Sus scrofa: one gene and its partner. The protein of the gene in region 1 interacts with the protein of each later gene in a pairwise test. Links are inferred from orthologs where the notes say so. Each region holds a gene or a part of one and is shown on either strand. Other genes may lie near its edges. The genes, in order: ABTB1 and EEF1A2.

Region 1 (8,657 bases):
AGCACATCATAGGCCACCTCAGGTGGCAGCTGCAAGGGAAGAAGGGGGTGCAGAAAGACACCTGGAGACTGTTGGCGAGCTGGGGGCTCATGTCACAGGCCAGCTGGGCCTCAAGCCCCGAGGCCAGAGCCCACATTTCGCACCTGCCTTTTCGAGGCACAGCTTCCAGCTGCCTGAAGACCAGGACCAGAGGAAACCGCCTACCAGTATCCCCCTCCTCCTGAGGCAACTATGATGGGGACCCCATGGCTGGCAGCATCCACCACAAGCCCTTCAGGGAGTCAGTGTGCTGACCTTGCCCCAGGGCACACCAGGGCGACAAGATGGAGGGGATGATTCGGGGCCCTGTAAGCCACCTGCCCTGGGCACTAACCTCAGAGAGAAACCAGGAACAACAAACTCTTCCTCAGTTATTGTGTTTTGGGGCTTTTAAAAAAAAAAAAAAACAAAAACTAGCCTGTGTGGCAGTGATGCTCACCCTCTGCTTCCTGCTGCCCTGTCTGTGGGGACGGCCTTAGGGCAGCTGAAGCAACCCCAACACCCTTGTGGGACTTTGAGGTGACTGTCCCCACCCCGCCTCTAGCTGGAGAACTTGGGCATCCCAGGTCGCTGATGCTGTCATTCCTGCTCTGGAACCTATCAAGGCCCCTCTACCTATAGAAAAGTCCCCATGGGGCCACGCTCCCTTCCCCAGCACCACGGAGAACTGGCCCTAGAGCTGGGCGCTCCCCTTTGGAGCCCCGCGGCCTGCGACACCTCCCCTCCGCCCCCATCCGGTATACACACCTCCGTGTGGTCACTGTAGACATAGTACAGCACGTGGGTGAACACATCAGGTGAGATGCCGTGCAGGGTGATGGCCAGGAGGCTGCCCTGGGCCTCCAGCTGCTCATTCTCCTGGAAGTGGTCATCCAGCAGGGCCCGGAAGTAGTCACTGCGGCCGCAGAAGAAGGCCTAGGGGAAGCTGGGCTCAGGATGGGCGGGGACCTGGGCCCAGAGCTTAAGGCAGGGGTGGGAGTCCAGGGGGAGAAAGCTTGGCACCTTGTGACAGAGGAAGTTATAACCCTCCACTCGGAAGCAGACGTCAGGACAGCCATTGAAGCCATCGCAAGGGAAGGGCAGCTCCCAGAGATCACCCTGGGGGGCAGAGAGGAGGTGCCATCAGAGCAGGCGGGAGAAGGGACAGCAGCCGGCCCCAGCCAAGGGCCTGCTCTTGCTCACACCTGAAGGTGACCGCCGCCCCACCTGCAGATCCAGACACAGCACAGAACACAAGCCAGCAGTGTGGCTAGAAAAAAGGGAAGTGCCAGGCTTAGGTTTAAACCGCCGCCCCTTCCTAGGCAAGGTGCTCACCCGGAGCTCAGTGGGCAGGGCACAGTCCGCCAGCAGGGCCAGGTCCTCCCGCAGCCGTAAGTCTGCCTGCGGGGGCTCGATGGTCAGCACCTTCACGCACGTGCCTGGCTTGGAGGCCACTGCGGAGGGCAGAGCACAGCTTCAGGGCGCGGGGCAGCCCTGCCAATTCCTGCCCGCGGCCCTGGGCCTGAGGCTGGACACACAACTCACACTTGGCCTCCAGGTCACCTAGCAGGTCCCACAGCTGGCACTGCTTGGCCAGGCGCTCACAGTCGCTGACATGCTCCACACTGACATCCAGGCAGCCTGGGTGTGGGTGCAGCACGGGAGGGAGGCTCAGGGTCTGAACGGGACCCTGCTGCCTGGACAGAATTCCAGGAGGCAGTCCCTCTGCCCAGCCTGGCCCCAGGTGGGAAAAGCCAACCCAGGAGGTTGCTGAGGCTGCCCTGCACTGCAGGGGACAAGCACCTGGGTGTGCTGTGGCCCCTCCCTACCCAGACCCGGGGTTCACCTGTGTACAGGTACTGCAGCAGGGCGCCGAAGGCCACAGGGTTGATCTGTGGGCAGAGACTGCGGTCAGAGGCAGTCACTCAGCACAAGCCCCCTGCTGACCCCCGACCCCAAACCATGGACCCACCAGGGGGTGCCGAAGGACCACAACACTCTTGCCCTTCCACTTGGTGTCCAGCATGTTGGCGAAGTAGGCACTGCGAGCACCCAGGATGCAGCGGTGAGCCCGGAAAGACCTCCCATGCACCATGAAGACCACGTCACTGTGGATGCCCTGCTCCAGAAGCCTGGGGAGCAGTCCAGGGGTGCTCAGCAGTATGCCCCGCCCTCCTGCCCCCCAGCAGGGTGCCGCGGTCCATAGGCCACACCCACTGCAGACCCACCAGGCAGGGCTGTCTCCTCACCGGAGCAGGAAGCTGTAGTAGTGATCCCGCCTCCTGCAGGACGTCACCTGCTTGTACTCACGCAAGGCCCGGCGAATGGCATCACTCTGCGCTCCATAGAGGCAGCGCTCACCATCAAAGGTGTTGGCCTCACAGCGGGCTCCTGGGAAAAGCATGGCTCTCCCATCAGCAGGGCCATGGGGCTGCCCCCTGCAGCTGGAGAGGGGCCAGGGGAAAGTCTCACCCAACACACACACACACACCAGCCAGGGCCCAAGCACGCCCAGACCACATGAGACAGAGAGCTCGGTGGCCAGCCCTGTTCTCTACAGACAGACTGTAAACTGATGGGCCCCTAGCTGAGGGGGTACTGAGGCTCCAGGACAGCGAAAACAGGTTAGCAATTGATGCCAGCTGCTCTGAAGAAAAACTAAGTAAGACGAAGAGTGACAGTGGTGGCAGGTGCCACAGATGGACTGTGACAGTGACAGGTGCAGAGGCCTAAACTAAACGAGAGCCACATGAGAACAAGGGAAAGGGCAGTCTGAGCAGGAGGAATGGCAACGGAAGAGGCCCTGAGGAACCAGGCCAGGCGGGAGGGGGAGTGTGGGTCTTGGGGAAGCTCCCAGCCTGACAGGGCATCCAGCTCCATGGCAGACGGGAAAGCCTGCACAAAGGGCAACAAACCATTGGTCAGGTGAAGGGGCAGCCTTGAGGCCAGAGGTGACATCAACTGCAGGGAGATGCTGAGCTGCTGGAAGCAGCACGCAGAACTAGTTCCCAAAGCAGAGCTAAAAGCACTTGCTGATGGGATGCAGGTGAAGGGGAGAGATCCAGAGCCACTGTGAACACCCGCATGCAGCCCCCCGCCCCCAACCCACTTACCATTGGCCAGCAGGTAGAGCACAAGTTCCTCATGGCCACAGAGGCAGGCATAGTACCTGAGGGGAAGGGACCCAGTGCTGTCAGGCCTGCAGCGCCACCAACCCTGACCACCCCTGCTCCCCCCACGGCACTCACAGCGGGGTGCTGTCCCACTTGTCCCGCACGTTCACCTCCACGTCACGCTGCTCTAGCAGATACCTGGGCAGGGAAGTCAGAGCTGAGTCAGGCCAGGTTCCTGGTCTGGAGAGCAAACCTTCAGGAGGGGAAGGAAGGAAGCCTCCCCAGGTGAGGGCGGGTGAGGGCTGAGCAGAACAGGAAAGGCACTTGAGACAAGGAGACCACGGAGTGGCAATGGGAAACCCAGCATCAGAGGCCCCAGAACTGAAGGGGCCTCTGGGCAGAAAGCCTTTGGGAAGGAGGAGAGGAAGGGGCCTCTGCCTCTGTGGGAGCCCTCTGGCTGCTTGGGGTGGCAAGGCCGAGCACGAGCTGCTGCAGGCATACTGGTGATGTGGAAATGACAAAAAGGTAGGTTCTAGAAGGTGGATGTCAGGAGACAGGGCAGCAGGTGGGGTGGGGAAGTGGGAATCAACAAGGGTGGTGATGGAGCCACCACAGAGGAGGAAGTGCCTTGGGGGAGACACCTGGGCCGACCTCAAGAGCGCTCCCAGCAGCATCACAAGTGGCACCTGCAGCGGGGGAGCTGTGCGGGTCAGGAATTGGCGAAGGTGGGCAGGTGCCTCCCATCCCAATCAGGCAGCCCACGGAGATGGCGACTGCAGCGCCCAGTCAGCTCTAGCCGCACTTGGGGAGTTTCCGAATCTCCGAGGACTAGAGACCCCAGCTCCGGGTCCACAGCGCATCAGAAACGAATCGCGGAGTCCCAGGCCGGCCCCCAGGGTCTGGCGCCCGGGCCCTTCTCTTCTCTCCGCGCTCTCCTCTCCCCCTCCGGGCGTTCTCGTCGCAGTACCTTCCTCCGGGACCCCCTGGAGGAGTCACGCCAGAGCTCCCCGATCCCCGGCTCCACCCCAGAGCACTGTGGCAACCTAGGCAGCCCTGCTTCGGCGTCTGGGCGCCCACGGGGGAAGGGTCTGCGGCGGGGTCACCCACCCGGCACCCTCCCGGGGCCAAGGGTCCTCACCGCACTCGGCCCACGTCCCCCTTCCTGCAGCTGGAGAACAGGTCGCACGTATCCATGGCGCGGACGGCCCGGACCCCCGCCAGGCGACCTCAGAGCCCCGGCCGGATATAAACACGCCCCGCCCCGCCCGGGCGCTCGGCAGCGGCGCCTGGCGCTCGGAGGACCGACTCGGGCGCGCTGCCCCGCCCCCACCCCAGCCCAGAGTAAGAACGAGTCGCTTAGGCGGACCACGGGCCGGCGTGCTCTCCCGGCGGCTTTAATAGGGTCCCGGGCGCCCCGCGGGGCGTCGGGTCGGGGGGGTGGGGGGTGCCGAGATGCGTCGAGAGTCACTGGAGGGGGAGGCAGAGGACCCCACGCCGAGGCCCGGGCCGGGCGGGGCTCAGCCCCTCACAGGTGCGTGTCCTCCTCAAACACGTCTGAGTCCTCGGGGTCACGCTTGCCCCCCATGAGCGCGCTCCATCCCCCCGGGCCGTTGACCGCGCCGCCGCCATTCAGGCTGGGCTGCTTCTCCTGCATCTCCGACTGGCTGTCGCTGGCCACGTCCAGCGTGGGGTTGTCGTGGCAGCCGTTCTCCACGAAGCGCAGCTCCTCGCCGTGCGACTGCGGCGGGAGGGGCGGCTGGGCGGGCGCGCCGGCCCCGCCGCCCCACATCCCTCCAGACCCTCCCTAGACAGGGGACCCCTGTCGGACCCTCGACGGACAGCGGACAGACAGCCCCTTCTGGTCCTGTAGCTCAACTCCTTTCTTAAAATGACCATTGACCCTTTACACTTATCAGCCTTGTGGCCTCCCTGACACCGTCTATCCCTCCACCACCCCAGAGACTCCTAGAAAATAAGGGAGGTGTGCACTGCCTGCACCCCACTCCCACCCCCAACCGGGGCGTCTGCAAGGCCGCCCTGCCCAGGAGGAACTGGGCCCACAACCCACACCTCCAGCATCTGACAACCAGGAGCTGGGCCCTGGACAAGGACTTCAACTCACAGTACCCACCCCCTAGTAACTGCCACCTCACTCACAAATAAGGACCCCAAGTTTCAGGTGCCCGGCTAGCTGGACCCCCTATACCACCCGGACCAGGCCCCCTGCCCACCCACCCTCACGCTCACCACGTGTTTCAGCTTGGGCAGCCGGCGCTGCCAGCAGTTATAGAGCAAGCCCAGCACGATGATGACCACACAGATGGCACCGATGACCACCAGCACCACAAAGAGCGTCCCGTAGTCACTGCGCACCTGGCTGGCCCGGGCCTGGCAGCTGCTTGTAGTGGAGTAGTTCTGGATGCCAATCTGGGGACAGGAGGGCCGGCTTCTGAGCTGAGGTCCTGGGGTACTAGGTCTCCCCAGATTGGAGCTCAGGGTGGGCAACATGCCTGGCCTGTGCTCACCAAGGACTCTGCCCACCTCCCTTCTCAGCCTTCCCTCACATACTGGCCTCAGCTCTGCCCACCCCAACTCTGCTTGTGCGGAGATCTGGCCCTAAATGGACTTGCAGGTAGCCTTAACCCCCACCCCCACCCCCACCGCCCCAGGTCTGGCCCCATGCTGGCACAGTCCCAACCATCCCCCCACTTTGAAAAAAGACAAAGGCACCTGTGAGCCCCTCTCTTCACTTTTTCCACCACATACCCACCCATTCAGGCTCCTGAAACACTGCTTCCCCTGTGGGGGCAGGGGTGTTCTGCTATCATTCTGGCCATGTGAGCCAGAGAGTGTACAGGAGGCTGGGATGATCCACATCCCAGGCCATCCCCAGCCTCTTGGCTTCCTCCTCTGCTCACTGGAGTGGTCCCAATGTGACCAGCACCCTCCCACACAGCAGGCAGTCCTGGGCAGGCTGGCCTTCTCTGTCCAAGAGGCTGCTTTGTCCCAACTGGGCATCCCAGGTGGAGGGGAGCAGGAAATGTGAAGTGCCACCATCAGATGCCAGATGCCAGGGGGAGGGTGCTGTCTTCTGGCTCTGGGTGCAGAGACCTGGGAGGCCCCCTTTCTGCCACAGGCCCCCTTTCTAAGGCCAGGTACTAGCCCTTCTTCCTGTGAACCACCTATGTATTTCTAGTACTCTTCCCTACTCTTAATTTATCAAGGTCAGTGCACATGCTAAATCTGCCACATACACTTCCAGACCCAGCATGCCTTTGGGCCAAGTCAGGCTCAATGAAGTGTTCAGTAAAGCCAGAATACTGAAGAGGGGAAGAGGCAGGAGGGTCTGTAGAAGGTTGAGCTCAAGTTTCCACCAGCACCTCCTCCCCCGCCCCCAGTTCATGAACCTCAAATCTGCCAACTTGGAACAGCTCTTGGTGGCCATCCAGGTGGTGCAGATACAGCCTCATGGTGAAAGGCCCAGGCTCTTGAGTCATTTAGGTCTAGTCCAAAGCCTGACTCTACTGCTCACTAGCTGTGCCATCTGGGGCGAGTCACCTCCCTGCTCTGGGCTTCAGCTCTCGTCTTAAATGGGGTATCAACAGTCCTCAACAGGGGCCTCGCTCATTGCCCACAATCCCTGGGTGATGGTGAAGGTGGGATGGGAGAACTGAATGAAATCTGGCTCTCAGCACCCAGTCTGTTTATCAAAACCCCAAACAGCCTCAGAGGCCATCCTTCTGCCCTGCACAGGCTAGATAAGGAGGCAGGACGCATGGGTCACTGGATAAGGAGGCAGGGCCCACAGTCACGCATGCCTCAACTCTGCCATCACACACTACAGGGCCCTGTTGACAGGCCCCTGGATTCCACAGTGAAAGGCAGGAGTCTGGGGGACACCAGGCTGTCCCCAAGGGAGGGGAGGAACTGAGGGTCTCCCCTTCAGGGAAGAGGCATCTGGAGCAGAGGCTGGCCAGCCTGTCTCCTCGGTCCAGGTCTCAGGGCCAGCCAGGCAGCCGGAACCAGTGTTCCCCCACCCCAGCTGACAGAGCACCAGCCAATCCCCAGCAGGGAGTGCCTGGTGATGATTTCTTTTGTGGTTTTGGAAACCATGTCACATCATTCCCACCTAGCCAACTTCTGCACAGCTCCTGGCCCAGACTTGTGCTTCTCCACTGTTGACCCAGAGAACTCCGCTTACCTTCCGACACACCCCACCAAGGTCCACTCCCCTGTGTCCTCCCGACCACTGCCCTCTGCAGCTTGGGTCTGCACCTGGCACCACATCACCTGTACCACGACTGGTAGCGCTGTGCTCCTTAGAGGGCTGGGTCTCAGTGACTGCAGCCAAGCCACTCAGGGCCCCTTCACGCCACAGCCTGCAACGCCCTCAGGGAAGGCAGCCCCGCCCCAGAGCTTCAGGGGTACAGGAGCATGGCCTGCACCCTTACCTCCACCAGGCTCCTGCGGATGCCACCCAGCATGGACAGGACGTCTTGAGTGGGCACCACCCCTGGGGAGACACCACCGTCAGCAGAGCGCGGCCGCTGCCCGTCGGACCCTCCACCCAGACTCCCAACCTCCTCCTGTGCCCCAAGAACATGCAGACCATCCTGTACCTGCTTCCCACCCACTGGCTCACATGCAGATGCACAGATACCCACCATGCAACAGGTGTGGCCCCGGGGCGGCCTCTCCCACAGCCCTGCCCCCACTGTATCCATTTGGTCCAGGGGCCACCACCTCCTCTTCTCCAGAACCAACCAGGACTCAGCCCGCTGCCTTGTATCCCCACAAATGCCCTCCTGCAGCCTCCTGGGAGCTGCTGGGCCGGTGCTGCCCAGCTCACCCTGCTCGCCCACCAAGGTCATCAGAAGATGCTGCTCCTTCTCACTGGGCTTGCTCAGGGAGATGTGCCAGTCCCCATGGCGGCCACTGCCGTGGCGGGGCAGCACCTCCTCTACCAGGGCCAGGAGCTGCAGCCCTCGGTGCCGCCGGAACACCTCCTACAAGGGCAGAGAGAGCCCAGTACTTGGTGAGGGGTGGGCCCAGTGACCCTGCCTCTAGGCCCAGCACCCACAGGGGCCACTCAGGCTCCAGGGATTGTGGGAGAGGCTGTGAACTGAGCTTCGGGGGGACTGTGGGAGCAGCAAGATCTGCAGGCCTCCAGGCACCTCCTCCAGCCTTGGCCTCCCACCATGAGGGCACAGGGCCTGCCCAGGGCTACTCACAGGTGAGCTGGGGCACAGATTGCCCACCCGCAACAACACACCCAGGGAGTAGGCCAGCGTGTGGAGGACCAGGGGAGCCTACCCACGGGGCCTGAGTGTCCAGCTGTGCCACATGAGGGGTGTGGGGGGGGGAGGGGAGACAGAGTGCACAGCAATAAGGCCATCAAATAGCAGAAGAGGCAAGAGGCCACCTCCCCAAGCTCCCTTCGCCTGTCACTGGAGAGATGGTGCCCAAAGTTGAGGAGTCAAGAAAGACGCCTTTATACACATTGGTGGCAGCAGTGACTAGGAGAGG
Region 2 (7,411 bases), on another chromosome or scaffold:
CCCCTCCAGATGGGGAAGGGCTCCTTCAAGTACGCCTGGGTGCTGGACAAGCTGAAGGCGGAGCGCGAGCGCGGCATCACCATCGACATCTCCCTCTGGAAGTTCGAGACCACCAAGTACTACATCACCATCATCGACGCGCCGGGCCACCGCGACTTCATCAAGAACATGATCACCGGCACCTCCCAGGTGGGCGGGGCCTCGGGGCCTGGGGGCGGGGCGAGGGCGCCCATGGGGGGGGGGGCGGAGCCCGCGAGCGAGCCGCAGCTGGGTCTCCTGTGCTTCCTGGCGAGGCCAGGGGACCCCTCACCTTTGTCGCCCCTCGCCCTCAAAGAACTGACCACGTCTCAGCCGGGCGAGGGCGCCTGTAAGGACAGCCCGCCAGCCAGGCCCCCTTCAAGGTCAGACACAGAGGCCAGGACGGGGGCCCTGGAATGGGGGCAGAAATGCCCCCAGACAATCCAGCGTGGCCAGGGCATCACCCAGACAGACAGACAGACAGACAGACGCGGGCCCTCAGGGGGAGACCCCAGGTGCCAGACTCCCCAGAGGGGCCTGGGCGGGGTCTGCGGCTCACCCTGACGGCCTGCGGGGCAGGCGGACTGCGCAGTGCTGATCGTGGCGGCGGGAGTGGGCGAGTTCGAGGCGGGCATCTCTAAGAACGGGCAGACCCGCGAGCACGCGCTGCTGGCCTACACGCTGGGCGTGAAGCAGCTGATCGTCGGCGTCAACAAGATGGACTCCACGGAGCCGGCCTACAGCGAGAAGCGCTACGACGAGATCGTCAAGGAGGTCAGCGCCTACATCAAGAAGATCGGCTACAACCCGGCCACCGTGCCCTTCGTGCCCATCTCGGGCTGGCACGGCGACAACATGCTGGAGCCCTCCCCCAACGTGAGTGCCCAGCAGGGGCGGGGCTCCTCGGGCCCCTCCCAGAGGGCCCTGGGTCCGGCGGGCACAGACGGGTCTCCCCCCCCCAGCCCTCCCAAGGTCCCGTGGTGTGGACACGTGCGGTGCCAGCCCCGGTGGGTGTCAGAGCCCGGTGGGACCCCCAGCCCCCTTCCGTTCAGAAGCCTCTGCATCCCCTCCTCTGGCCAGGGCCGCTCCCCGGGGCGGACGTCAGAAGGCAGCCGCCGCTGCCGCCCGCCCCCCATCTCTGGACGCCCCGTGTGGTGGGGCTGGTTCTCACCTTCCCCAGGATCAGGGGCCAGAGGCTGGCTCTCTGCTGGTCAGCTGGGGAGCTGTGGCTCTGGCTGCGGGTGTCCTGAGGACTCGGACTGGGCAGGAGGTGATGAGGGGAGCCTGAGACCCAGCGCCTGGCAAGGGCGCCATAGGACAGCCGTTCTGGCCAGGCTGGGGGAGGCGGGCGTGGAGGGGGCCAAGGAGACCCAGGGAGACTTAACCTGGAGCCCCGTGGTCGGGGTTCCTGGTCGGGCTGGGTCTCACGTGGGACAGGGCCACCGACGGGGGTCAGGGAGGCCAAGGCTGGGGGGTGGGGGAGGGGCGCTACAACAGGTGCCTTCTTCCTCCCGCCCAGATGCCCTGGTTCAAGGGCTGGAAAGTGGAGCGGAAGGAAGGGAATGCCAGTGGCGTGTCCCTGCTGGAGGCTCTGGACACCATCCTGCCCCCCACACGCCCCACAGACAAGCCCCTGCGCCTGCCGCTGCAGGACGTGTACAAGATTGGCGGTGAGTGAAGCCTCTTCAGCTGCCCTCCCAGCCCAGCCGCCGGCTCTGCCCTCAGACCCCTCCTGAGAACCGGCTCTGGCGAGGAGCCTGGGGCAGGGTTATTTCTGCCTCTCCCCCGAGGCTGCACTCTTTCCAGGGGACCACCCACCCACCTGTCTTCATCCATTCATCTGTCTGTCTGTCCCTCTGTCCACTCCCACCTGCCCATCGGGCTGTCCCGCAAGGGTCCTCCTTCCTCCAGCTCAGTGCCCAGCCCTATGCCAGCAGCGGGTGGCACAAGGGAGCCACACGTTGCCCTCGTTGCCCTCCCCCTGGAGGTCTGGGGCCTGTGGGAGACATGATCCACTCCAGAAGGAGAACAGCCATTCATGAGATGGTACAGAACCTTGAGCAAGTATGAGGCCCAGGAGGGCAGCGGTGGGGGCTCGCGGCCAGCAGGCTGCGGCTGGAGATGTCAGGCCTGTGTGCAGACTGGGGGTCCACGCCCACCCGGCACAGAGAACGCCACCAGGCTCGGTAATGCCACACGAGCCGCTGTCACCGCCAGGGAGACCAGGAGGAGCCCCCTGCCGCCGCCCTAGGGGGCACCGTACCTCTTCAGGAATAGCCCCCGAGACGGCAGCACCAGTACTGGGCCGGGTCAATCCAGGGGGACCGGTTCATGCTGCTGCCTCGGAAGGAGAGGCCCCGGAGAGGGGAGGCGGTCCCTGGGGCAGGGGCGGGACCCCTCTTTCAGACGGCCCTCTCCTTGCCCGTTTGCCCCGTGTTATGGGCACTCTCTTCCCGAGTCCCTTCTCCCGGAGGGGCCGGGAAGCTCCCACTTCTGGCCGAATGTCTCGGCGTCTCCCTGTCCCCTCACCTCCTCCATGTGGCCACCCCTCCCCTGCCAGGGCGAAGGGCACCCCCCGCCAGGCCTGCCTTCTCAGCCTCCTTCCTCTCGACGCAGGCATTGGCACTGTGCCTGTGGGCCGAGTGGAGACGGGCATCCTCCGGCCGGGCATGGTGGTGACCTTCGCGCCCGTGAACATCACCACTGAGGTGAAGTCGGTGGAGATGCACCACGAGGCTCTGAGCGAGGCCCTGCCCGGGGACAACGTCGGCTTCAACGTGAAGAACGTGTCAGTCAAGGACATCCGTCGGGGCAACGTGTGTGGGGACAGCAAGTCCGACCCGCCCCAGGAGGCCGCCCAGTTCACTTCCCAGGTGCGCGGCCCGGGGGCCAGAGGGCCGTCTTCCCAGGCAGCGCAGGGCTGTCCTCGGCGAGGCGGCTGCCTGGTGCCAGGAAGGACTCGGATCCCCACGTTAGAGACGGGCCGTCGAGGCCGGGCGGAGGTGGAACCTCAGGAAGAGCCGACAGGGTGACCAGGCTGCCCAGCCTCAGGGGGTCCCACTTCGGTCCTGGAAATGCTGTAATCAGCTTATCGCCTGGGGCCCATCTGCAAGGCTCTCCTCTGTTTTCACTGCGCCTTCTTTGGTCATCTCTTTATTTATTTATTTATATTTATTTATTATTATTATTATTTTTTGTCTTTTTGCTATTTCTTTGGGCCGCTCCCGCAGCATATGGAGGTTCCCAGGCTAGGGGTCGAATCGGAGCTGTAGCCACCGGCCTACGCCAGAGCCACAGCAACGCGGGATCCCAGCTGCATCTGCAACCTACACCACAGCTCACGGCAACGCCGGATCGCTAACCCACTGAGCAAGGGCAGGGACCGAACCCGCAACCTCATGGTTCCTAGTCGGATTGGTTAACCACTGCGCCACGACGGGAACTCCTGGTCATCTCTTTAACGTGACTACAAAGTTTGTCTGTTTTTCTTTCTCTCCTTCTAGGGCTTCACCCGTGGCATATGGAGATCCCCAGGCTAGAGGTCGACTCAGAGCTGCAGCTGCCGGCCTGCCCCACAGCCACAGCCCCACGGGACCCGAGCCTTGTCTGTGACCTACACCACAGCTCATGGCAATGCCAGATCCTTAACCCACTGAGCAGGGCCAGGGATCAAACCCGCATCCTCGTGGATACTAGTTGGGTTCTTAACTCATTGAGCCACAGCGGGAACTCCACTACAGTGTTTAAAATTGGCTTTACTGAGGTATGGTTGAAATACGACAGTCGGGCCCGGGTTTGTCTCCCTGCTCCTTCGGCTCTGGCCTCTGGCCCTTTCAAATGATGCTCTCGGTGTTTATCTTCTGTGGCTTTTCAGACCCTTGAAGACAACCAGCCTCGGGCTCTGTAGGTCTGGGGGCCTGGGCCCCCTGGAGCCTGACCGTTCTCCAGGGTCAGCACCCAGGGCCCCTGGGGTGGGCAGGGCCTCTTCCAGCCTGGTGCCCTCCTCTGGTGCCCACCCGGGGCAGGGCTGATGGCCTCTGCCACTCTGCCCGCAGGTCATCATTCTGAACCACCCGGGGCAGATCAGCGCCGGCTACTCACCGGTCATTGACTGCCACACGGCCCACATCGCCTGCAAGTTTGCCGAGCTCAAGGAGAAGATTGACCGGCGCTCTGGCAAGAAGCTGGAGGACAACCCCAAGTCCCTGAAGTCTGGCGACGCGGCCATTGTAGAGATGGTCCCTGGGAAGCCCATGTGTGTGGAGAGCTTCTCCCAGTACCCGCCCCTCGGTGAGCCGGGAGGGGAGGTGGCGGGCCCAGGCCAAGGGCAGGAGACCCCTGGGTGGGGGGGGGGGGTGGATCCTGAACTTTGCTGCAGCACTGAGAACTCAGTAGGAGACTCCCGGCCTTGGCCTTTGTCTCCCGGAGCACACGTGGCCCCACTAGGTGGGCCTGAAATGGTGTCCCCTCTGCAAAGGAAGTCCCCTAAGGGAGTGGTCCAAGGCCCACAGCTAGTCTCGAGGCAGAGTCAGACTGACCTCCTGCCTCCAACTGGCCTCCCTCACAGATACCCTAGGATGACCCACAGACCTGTATTGGAGAGCTGCCTAATGCCAGGGTGGGGCCACCGTCAAAACAGCCGAGCGTGTTCTCGGCATGGTTCACAGGCCATTTACTTCTGGCAACTGTGCCTTGACGGAGTCCTATGTGCATCTAAGTAGATGGGAGCCCGTACTCCACCCTGTCCCCGGAAACAGGCGCAGGGAACCCCGTCCCCACCGCGAGGGTCGCAGCCCCAGGGCCTGGGTTGGGGAGGATGCTGCGGGCGCGAGTGCGCCTGCGCGTGGCATCCGGGCCGGCTCTTCACGCCTCCTACCCGCAGGCCGCTTCGCCGTGCGCGACATGAGGCAGACGGTGGCCGTGGGCGTCATCAAGAACGTGGAGAAGAAGAGCGGCGGCGCCGGCAAGGTCACCAAGTCGGCGCAGAAGGCGCAGAAGGCGGGCAAGTGAAGCGCGGGCGCCCGCGGCGCGACCCTCCCCGGCGGCGCCGCGCCCCGCCCTCGGCCCCGCCCCCGGCCCCGCCCCCGGCGCGGCCCCGGCGCCCCGCCCCCCCGCCAGGCGCATGTCTGTACCTCCGCTTGTAAGAGGCTCTCCGTCAGCGACTGGATGCTGGCCATCAAGGTCCAGTGGAAGTTCTTTAAGAGGAAAAGCGCCCCCGCCGCCCCGGCTTCCGCGTCCAGCCTTCGCCACGCTCAGTGTCCGTTTTACCAATAAACTGAGCGACCCCGGAACCGTGTGTGCGCCTGCTGCTGGGGGGTGGGCGGCCCGCCGTGCGGGAGGGCGCGCCTTCGTACCCCCCACCCGGCCCCCCACCAAGCTGCTAGCCCAGCGGCCCACTCGGCACCCACTGGCCCTGCGGCCGATCTGGCCAGGTGTCCACCTGCATTACCCAGGGTGGGCTGTGGGCCGCTGGGTCTGGAGTCCAGAGGGTGAGGGGACTTTGGGGTCCCCCTGTGGGGGGATCCAAGGCAAAGACTGGGTCACTGCGGAGCTGCAGAAGGGGATTGAAAGTTTGGGGGTCTCTCTGAGAAGGGGATGAGCCCAGAGCCCCTCCCCCGCGAGTGGCTCTCACACACACTGTGCTTCGCCCGGGTCTTCCGGCTCCCTGGCTCTTGGAAGCCCAGTCTTACTGCCCCCACCGCCACCCCCGAGCCGGTCACTGTGGCTGGAGGCTCCTCAGCGCGGTCCTTGGTACGGCAGGAACTGCAGCCCCAGAAACCCCAGAACAAGCCCTGACCTTGGTCAGCAAGCACCGGGGGGCTGGCAGGACCACGCCCTGCCCAGCCATGCCTGCGCCCAGAAAGCAGCGGCAGTGCGCGTGCGGGGGTCAGGGTGAGGATGAGCTGGTTCCGACGACGGACACAGCTGCCCACAGCAGGTCTGGGCTGGGGAGAGGAGCAGGCCAGCCACAGGGTCCCCTGGGATTGAGTCCCCTGGGGCTGCAGCAACAAATGGACTGCAAGCTGGCAGCTGAAAACCACATACACGAACCGTCTCAGTCCATACCACTGGGACAGACTCCAGTGCAGGCAGGGTCTGCTCCCTCCAGAGGCTCCAGGGAGGGTCTGTCCTGTGCCTCTTGCGGCTTCTGGTGGCTGCCCAAGTTCCCTGGCTTGTGGCCACATTCCTGCAACCTCTGCCTCCACGGTCGCATGGGCTCATCTTCTCTGGGCCAGTCTCCTCTGCCTCCCACTTATAAGGACGGCCCAGGGCCATCTCCTCATCTTAAGATCGTTAGTTTAATTACCTCGTACAGCGCTTTCCTGCCATATGTCACACATTGCAGGATCCAGGAACTGGCACCTGAAATCTCTGAGAGCCAATGGAGCCAACTGCCCTGGTGGGGGGTTGGGGCTGGGGGGGAGGGTGTGGATTATGCCCCGAGGAAGGACCAGCCAGGAGAGACAGGTGTGCTCGGCTCAGGGGTGTCCACAGAGGGGCTGCGGTCTCTCCCCGCCTAGTCCCAAAGTGGGGACGGGCCCCTGAAGCCACAGGCAGGGAAGGACCAGATGAAGAATGACTAGATGAGCCGGGCAGAGTCAGATGGGACCCCTTCCCTTGGGTGCTGCTGGCGGCCACAGAGCTGTGTGGGAGGGTCTGGGCTGACCCTCAGAGGCCTCCAAGGAAGGCGGCTTGAGAAGGCAAATACAGACACAGAAACCCCAGGCAAATGTGGATTTCAGATAAACAGAGGATACTTTTTTTTTAGCATAAATAAGTCCCATACGATACCTACACAGAAGGATCTGGTGCTTACCTGAGACTCACACTTGATGGTGTGTTTTACCTGGAGGCCCCACCCAAGGAAACCGGGTACCTCCAAGCTCTCCTGAGCCCTGGGCTTCCTGGGCCTCTGCGGGCCACCATTGCTGGCGGGAGGGACCTGGTGTGACCCTGCAGACTCTCCCGGATGCTGTCCTTACACACTTGGCCCAGGTGGAACTGGGTTCCAGTCCTTACACACTTGGCCCAGTTGGAACTGGGGTCCGGTGGGAGAAACCTATCAGGCTGAGACAGGTGAGAGTAAATCCACCTTCCACTGGGGTCAAAGGAAGGCCCCCAGAGAGGTCCCTGGGGGAAGCCTCACCCTCTGGTCCCAGTGGCTCTTGCAAATTTGTCGTCCAGATGGAGAGTGCAGGGGGTGTCGGCCTGGCCTGAATGCCGGGGCTGCCCTTGGGGTGGCACTGCCTGCCCCCAGGTGGGCATTTCTGGGGTGGGGACGGGGTACAGAGCTTGCCATCCTGGAGGACTCTCAGGATGGCATGAGGACAGAGGTGGGAGCATTTGCCCGTTCCCGTCAGAGTCTGAGGCTGGTAGACAGGGGTCCCTGCCG

The links.
Region 2: the proteins of ABTB1 (region 1) and EEF1A2 interact in binary tests that used the Homo sapiens proteins (3 or more experiments, as listed by UniProt). The two-hybrid records come from large-scale screens. The link is inferred for Sus scrofa from reciprocal best matches to the Homo sapiens genes ABTB1 and EEF1A2.

Annotation. Positions count from the first base shown.
Region 1 is NC_010455.5:72,574,820-72,583,476, forward strand, and holds the start of ABTB1 (ankyrin repeat and BTB/POZ domain-containing protein 1), read right to left. Parts: upstream 4,657-8,657; 5' UTR 4,326-4,656; coding exon 4,270-4,325; exon of another isoform or gene 3,806-4,269; coding exon of another isoform or gene 3,783-3,805; intron 3,330-3,782; coding exon 3,267-3,329; intron 3,188-3,266; coding exon 3,132-3,187; intron 2,463-3,131; exon of another isoform or gene 2,423-2,462; coding exon of another isoform or gene 2,410-2,422; coding exon 2,268-2,409; intron 2,151-2,267; coding exon 1,991-2,150; intron 1,911-1,990; coding exon 1,865-1,910; intron 1,660-1,864; coding exon 1,564-1,659; intron 1,473-1,563; coding exon 1,354-1,472; intron 1,138-1,353; coding exon 1,042-1,137; intron 955-1,041; coding exon 787-954; intron 427-786; coding exon of another isoform or gene 274-426; exon of another isoform or gene 36-273; intron 30-35; coding exon 1-29. Other genes in the region: PODXL2 (podocalyxin-like protein 2), read right to left, coding at 4,657-4,869, 5,379-5,558, 7,583-7,644, 7,981-8,137. UniProt on the Homo sapiens protein: May act as a mediator of the PTEN growth-suppressive signaling pathway. May play a role in developmental processes.
Region 2 is NC_010459.5:62,515,709-62,523,119, reverse strand, and holds the end of EEF1A2 (elongation factor 1-alpha 2), read left to right. Parts: intron 1-9; coding exon 10-189; intron 190-597; coding exon 598-894; intron 895-1,537; coding exon 1,538-1,688; intron 1,689-2,634; coding exon 2,635-2,891; intron 2,892-4,073; coding exon 4,074-4,308; intron 4,309-4,900; coding exon 4,901-5,028; 3' UTR 5,029-5,309; downstream 5,310-7,411. UniProt on the Homo sapiens protein: Translation elongation factor that catalyzes the GTP-dependent binding of aminoacyl-tRNA (aa-tRNA) to the A-site of ribosomes during the elongation phase of protein synthesis.